Drosophila melanogaster: one gene and its partner. The protein of the gene in region 1 interacts with the protein of each later gene in a pairwise test. Each region holds a gene or a part of one and is shown on either strand. Other genes may lie near its edges.

The links. Proteins that work in one complex are often made in the same cells at the same time.
Region 2: the proteins of CG11076 (region 1) and mil interact in a two-hybrid assay, tested with the Drosophila melanogaster proteins (one large-scale study listed by BioGRID).

What each region holds. Positions count from the first base shown.
Region 1 is NC_004353.4:1,029,053-1,032,795, forward strand, and holds CG11076 (uncharacterized protein), read right to left. Parts: upstream 1,924-3,743; 5' UTR 1,759-1,923; coding exon 919-1,758; 3' UTR 659-918; downstream 1-658. Other genes in the region: mitochondrial inner membrane protein MPV17, read right to left, coding at 1-197; ATPsynbeta (ATP synthase, beta subunit), read left to right, coding at 2,838-2,901.
Region 2 is NT_033777.3:27,910,626-27,914,358, forward strand, and holds mil (milkah), read left to right. Parts: upstream 1-1,821; 5' UTR 1,822-1,942; coding exon 1,943-2,175; intron 2,176-2,240; coding exon 2,241-2,364; intron 2,365-2,428; coding exon 2,429-2,657; intron 2,658-2,716; coding exon 2,717-2,802; intron 2,803-2,856; coding exon 2,857-3,036; 3' UTR 3,037-3,160; downstream 3,161-3,733. Other genes in the region: CG5003 (uncharacterized protein), read right to left, coding at 3,413-3,733.

The sequences.
Region 1 (3,743 bases):
GACTCCAAAAAATGGTACCACCGGCGCAAAGTTGGGCCAACGAACACCAGTCCAACGATGCCGAAACGGAGGGTTCGCCCCGCATCCCATTCGTCCAACGATTTCTTATCAAAAAAGAACTGGGATATAGTATCGCCCAGACACATTACCGCCGCCACATTGATGCCATCCTTTAGGTACGCTTTAAGTCTCTTCATCCTTATCAGAGATCAGTTCCATTCATAGCCCGATCCAAATTGTTTTAAATACGCAATTAAAACACAACTGAGAAATCGATTTGCTGTTGTTCGTGTAGTTTTAAAGGGTTGCCTAATAATCGCAAAGTGATTGGTGTCAATTGCTGAAGTGACAAAAATTGGCAACTCTGAATAATTATTTAAATTAAATTATGCTAGCGTATTCAACTTTTTAACGCGCGTGAGTCCTTTTAATTGTTACATGCCGAATGAGAAAACGTTAAATTGCGTTCAATATGCAATTTAATGTAATGTAATGTAAAATAACTTAAACGTTTTAAGTATCGAACTGTTTTAGCACAGAAATCTCTTTCGGAACATGCGCAACGCGTATTCTTAATATTCTTTTAAATATAAATCTTAACTTTAACCACCGCTCTTTCTCCGCAACTATTAAGGTACTGATATTAACGTCAGCTGTTCATAGTGCTGTGAACACGCCTTGACAAAGTGCAATTTTATTTCGTTATTAAATGACTACATTAATTTATGCAGCTTATATGTGATAATCTATAATCCAAATCGTTACATATTTTTATTTAATTACGTAAGTATGTGAATTTATCTTAAGTAAACTCTAATTCTTAATGGTTTCCATTCGACTTTTTTAAGCCTTCTTGTGCAATTACTTCGTCCAGGTCATTAGCGGCCGTTGCTTTCATTTAATTTAAGCTTCTTTTGTCTATTTCCCTACTGCATTTCCCGTTTTGTGACCGTTTGAATTAAATTTTTTCTTGCGCATTTTGGCAGGACCAACTTCCTCTGCTGGGTTCATTATATTTTTCTCGATGTCCTCTTCGTCTAAGAGATCTTTATATAGATCCGGGATTATTGTTTCCTTCATGAACTGCGGCGTACGACCGGTAAGCACCGACTGTCGCACATCGTCCTCTTTTTGTTCTAGCGTCTGTGTGGTGGTGTGCAGCTTGCTCCGGATCTTGTAGTAGTTAGCAGTGCTGCGAAGCTTGGCAGTAGCTTCCAAGAATTTCTCGTCTGCTTGACTAAGAGATGTGGAAATCATCTTCGGTAATTGGATGCGTTGCTTGTAGCTGCGCCCGAACAACGGATGTCGTTCTCGTAATAGGTACTTGGGTAGCGTTAGATCAGCTTGAATTGTATGTTCCTTCTGACCTGGTAGCGGTTGTTTATCATATAGACGCTTGCTGATTACCACATAGCCGACAAAGGGAATTTTCCGGAGGGCATAGGGACCCATAGATCTCAAATAGCCCAGTGCCTCGCTCTGTAACGTCGAGTTTTTGACGGCACGAACCTGGAGATCGCCCACGCTCTTCCTGCCAGGAAGCCTAATGCGCTTGCCGACTAGCAGATGTGGATCTGCACCCTTGGGACACTGGACCAGCCAGGCTTCGTCGGTCTGACCATCGAAATCCCAAAGAGCATCCCCGCAGCACTCACGAGCAGCCGCGCCTGAGGTCAGGTTCACGTACTGTTCCTCCTCCAGAAATTGGCTCCGAGGTTTTTCCTCCTGGCGGGAAAAGAGTTTTTTACTTATTTTCATTGAGCGTTGGGGAAATCAATGTATTGCAGAAAATGACCACACGTGGTACAGGTGGAAAAATACAAGGGAAATATCGATGCATCGATAACTTAAAATGATTTGAAGGAGTAAATATTGTAGTTATGTGTTTGTAAGCGTAAACACCCCTAACCTAGATAAACTATTAGATTTTAGCGATGGGTAGGAAGGAAATGTTTATAGCTGTTTCTCGCTAAAATGGAAGGGCTTAGCAAAAGTAATAAACCCTAAGTTTCCCATACCAACCAGTTTAACATAAACAAATTTATTTTTTAGGTTTTAAAATAACGCTTTTCTTCAGGCAGACAAGCCGACAAAAATTGTATTAAGACAAATATCGAAAAATTTTGTTTGCTTTTGATATCTTTTAAACAAAAATTAATTGCCAATCAGACTGACTAAGAATTGTTTACTCGCTTTTTCAACCATATCTTCTTCATCATCTTCATATCAGGATCACCAGCCGAGTCGATCTACACATGTCCCTCTGTATGTCGAGATCACAGGAACTACGAAAGCTAGATAGTGATTTAACAAGTTGAGACTTAACATTCCAGAGACGAAGAATCAGGGCAAGTTTTTTCATCGATGCTGCAACGCACAATCTATTGCCCACACGCCGCCCAAAACTGTCACGCCTACCACTATTAATATCATTTTTTGTCATATATTTTCCAAATTCTATCCATAAGCCATAAAATAATTTAAATTTCTCTTGCGTACTTGCGTTCTCTCTTGTTTTACTTATTTTTGTTGGTGCAGTTACCTCTACTCAGCCACATCAGCTTGCAATCCATTAAACCACCTTTTCATGGGTGTATCAGTCGTTAGTGTCGGGCAACCACAACAGTTACAGTTCATTGTGTATATATAAAAGTGGCATTCGGACACTCTCCTGGTGCGGTAACAACAACGTAAGTCCACATTATGGTCTGAATACGCAAAAATACTAAAACCTCGATATGTTTTGGAAGCGTAAATACTCAATATATCGCGACTACCGATTTGCTCATCACTAGGACTTCTGCTCGCCCGCACACTTCTCAGTTAGTTCGAGAAAAATGTTCGCGTTACGTGCTGCATCTAAAGCCGATAAGAATTTGCTGCCATTCTTGGGGCAATTGTGTAAGTAGCACAAAAATAAAAATTTTTAATTGATAACAATTGTATTAAATTGCGAAGTTCAGCACAAAATATGTGCTTTGGCTAATAGCGCAATTGTCGAACATAACCTATCGTTCAATAAAATGTTACGAGCGAAAAAAAATATTACATAACAATTTTGAATGATTTAAGGTTACTTCTGTTTTATAACATATATAACAGTACTCAATTTAAACGACTTTTGAAAAAAAAAAAGATTTTTTTAGTCAGACATTTGCGTGTACGTCTTTCTGTAAGTTAACTAGGTATGTACATATATTGTATGCCGATATTGTTTGACGTTTTAAATTGAATAAATTTTTTTTTCGTTATATTGCAATTGAATTCTTCACAAAGTATTTTGAAAATTAAAGTTACTTAAAAATTAAATTAATAATTAATAGTATAATATTAATTGTTCATCATTATCTTAAAAAATAATATTAAAAATTGTCGATATTGATGCCCAAATTGTTACTGTTTAAGTTTTACGATGATGTATTCTACTAGTATCACTTTCGTTAAGTATAACATAAATCTGTATATATTGGTATCTAGTGATAGGAAAATCAATAAACTGATAGTACTTTTTATTAAAAAATGATACCAATTAGCTTTACATATGGGGTATTAAGAAAACCTTTTCATACGCTGGCAATATAAATTAGCAAACTTTTCCGATCCCATAAATTTTATTCGATGATCAGGATCATCAGCCGAATGTGTTTTATTCATTCATTAAACAAATCAAGCATCTAATACAATGTTAGATACATATATATTTTTTTGCAAGCACCTGCTGCGGTGGCCTTCGACAAGTCCTG
Region 2 (3,733 bases), on another chromosome or scaffold:
CTTCGCCCGATGCCCGATGCCCGACCAACCAAAAATGGTTAGTGAGTGCCATGCCCTGCCATGGTTGCGTTTCTGGGGCCGGGCAAGTTTTCAATTTAAGTTGAATTATTATGACCTTAATTAACACGTCGTTTCATCATCAAATGCCGCACTACATCTTATGCTTTTGTTGCAGATATTTCGGCATGGCGCCGTTGCTTCAGTTTCAGGAGCAGGTGGAAACGTAGGAGTTCCAGGCTGCCAGGTTGCCTGGCTCGTGGATGAGGATGTTGAGCTCCTGATTCGATTTTCTGCAGACATGCACTTTTGCCAGGAAGGAGCTGAAGCAGGAGCTTTAATCCCTGCGCCAAGTAACTGTTGCTCCGGTTGGTCGGGCTGCGCCAAACCATTCCATTCTGCTGGGCTCTACTAATTTTGGTTTTAATTAAATTCAAACTATGTTGACGCTCCCGGCACTGACGACCTCCGACGAGCGGCAATCACGTGGGTGATGGCCATGGTCCCCATGTTCCTCCAAATGATCCTGATGATGCTGATGATGATGGGGCTGCTCCATTACTTATGTAGCTACATTTTATGCACCGCCTAATTGAATGACCGAAATGTAAATTGAAAATGCCCGAATAGCTTAAATGGTTGTGCACTTGAAGAGTCCTTGATTAGTTGATCTTGATTAGTTCCCAACTATCGATTTCCATCTCATTTGGATTAATACCTAACTATCTTGCATATTCCATTCCTGCTAATGATAATGACGTGAAATATATATACATACCAATTATTTTGCACAGTGCAGGCATACACTCGTACAAATGTGGAAATTGGCCAGCCAGAGCCGTCATCATCAGATGCCTGGCTGCCTTACACTATTTGCGTTATGATTTCTTTTTAATTTCCCAGCGGTATTTAGGGAAAAAATTTAATAATATCAAATATGAGAGCAGCGAGTGGTGGATGTCCTGTGGAGACTGGACAAGTGCATGTGCCGTGTGTCGTGTGTGTTTGTATTTGTGGGCAAACATTCAACAGCGCACAACAATGCGATCTCCCGCTTTTCCCGCTTATCCTCTGCGGCTTTCATTTGGCGGATGTGTGTGTGCGTTGTTGTGTGTGTGTGTGTGTGTCTGGACTTCCGCTTGGCTGAATTTGTTTACACTTTTTTTTCGCCCGCCGCCACTGGCCCACTCATAATTTCATTTTGAAATGTTTGCCTAAGCGACAATTTCACTCTTTTTTTTCACTTTTTTCTGTTGTTTTTCACAGCCGGACATATGGCACTAAGCCTGGCCCACATTATTAAAACCAGCGACAAAAGACAAGCGACTCTCGGATAGACCAGAAACTGGGTCCACGGTCCATTTAACAGACTCCAGGAGGCGATGGCGATGGCGATGGCGATGGCAATGGCTGAACCTGAACCCTTGGCGGCACAGCACTCAGCACGTGATTTGCATACACTTAGGCCAGGCTGGCGGCACCCAGTCCAAGCTTTTGGCCCACACTTAATTACATGCCAAATGAAAAGTTGGCGGAAGCAAACAAAAAATTTTGGGGAAACCAAAAATATATAAACAGGAAAAGAGCAGGAATTAAATGTGCGTTAAATTGCCAATAAACATGGCCTGCATCTCAATGGGCAAAGTAAGGCGAAAGGGGTGACTAAAACAGCAATAACACGAGGGTTTAAAAATGTAGCTTAAAAAAAAAGAATAATAAATTGCTTAATATTTTCTAGTACATCTAGTTAGTTCCAGCACTTTAGTGAAAAGCGGGCCTTGCCTTTTGTGCTGGGAGTTTTGGGAAACTGATAGAGCTACTTTTCATTCCCACAACGGCAGTCACAGCGAAAACGCACACGTCCAAATTTTATACTTGAACAAAACCAAATCACTTCAAGAAATATTTTTTTTATTTTTCTTTTGATTATCGTGTCGAAACATAAATGGAAACTGTGCGAAATCGAAACCCTCCGCGGATGAAGTACACCGCTCCACCGAAGATGGAATCGGATTTAAACTTCACCGAGAAGGAGAAGAAAACTCTTACCGAACTGAAGCAGCTCTATTTGGAGACCATTAACCTGGATGTGGCTCTGCAGCGCGACATTTACAATATCGAGAAGAAGTACGAGGATAAGCACAATATCATATTTGATAAGCGCAAGAAGATTCTAGAGTAAGTCCATTAATGGTGTTTGGTTAAACAAGATCTCAATTCCCCCAAAAATCCCATCGGTGCAGTGAGTTTAGAAAGCAAAACCACGGCGACGTGGAAACCAATCAGAGCGTGCCCAACTTTTGGCTGAGGGTTCTCAAAGCATCGTACACCGAGTTCATCAGCAAGAGGGATGAGAAAATATTAGAGGTATGTTATGGATAGATCCGATTTGAAGGATATTTAAATTTTAATTGAAATTTTTCCCGCGCAGTGCTTAAGCGACATCCGTTCTCGGCTGTACAACGAACCCGTGGTGAAGTTTGATATCGAATTCCACTTCGATCCCAATGATTACTTTACCAACACGGTGCTGACCAAGACATATTTCCTCAACTGCCTGCCGGATCCAGACGATCCGCTCGCATATGATGGCGCCGAGATCTACAAGTGCGAAGGCTGCGTCATCGACTGGAAGCAGACCAAGGACCAGACCAAAACCGGTAAGCCATCTGGGAGCATCAAATTTCACAGATGTTAGTTGAATTCACTCATTGACCAGAAAATCAAGAGCCGTCGTTCTTTGAGTTCTTCTCGCCGCCGCTTTTGCCAGAAGATACCCTTGACCCCAACTACTGTGACGTCAATGTAAGATTGAATATCAGCGATCTGCGATCCTTTCACATGCATCTCCTCCCACAGGCTATGCTGCAAAACGATTTTGAGGTGGGCTTCTATCTAAAGGAGCGCGTGATTCCCAAGGCGGTGATCTTCTTCACCGGCGAGATTGCCGATTGTCAGAGCTCCAGCGGATCGGAGACCGAGTCGGAAGATACCGAGGACGAGTCGGATGCCGAAGAGGAGGATGGCGTCGACAAGTAAACATTTTACACCGCTTATATACAGTTTACATACATTTTTAACTCGAGTCACCGAACTATTGGCCTGTCCTTACCCACTACATACCAACCAAATAAACATTTCATTATACATATTTACCAAAAGGATCTCGCGCGCTCTTTTTAATGCCTAGCTAAAGGAATTGAATTGTGGTTTTGATTTATACAGTGCGTTTAGCCTGGCGTGTATATATTACAAGGACTCGAATAGTCAAACGTAATACTAGATGGCTGAGCTACAGCACTCGCTTGTAGCCAGCGTTGTGGATCCATCGGCTTGGCCATGTCGTCTTTTTTCTTAAAAAAAAATAAAATAATCCAGCACGGCCCACTTCGACGGAATCTTTACAAACAATATTCTAAGGAGCCACCACCTCCTGTGGCGGTGGCGATTTCGGTGGCTGCTCGTCGTCGGCGCGCGGCGGTGGCTGCAGCATCACCACCACCGTGTCATCCTCTTCCTGTGTCTCCAGCTCCGGAAGTCTTTCAAACTCCTCCAAGTGATTGGCGACCACTTCGCATTTCGGTTTGGAGATCTTGAAGCGCCGAATTGCCGGAAGCGTAATGCTGGTGCCACTAACATCGATATACACCAGATTCGGAGAGCACTGCACCAGGTGCTCCAGGGTATGATTTGTGATGAGATGGTAGTTTCGCAACGACAGTCGCTCCAGTTTATT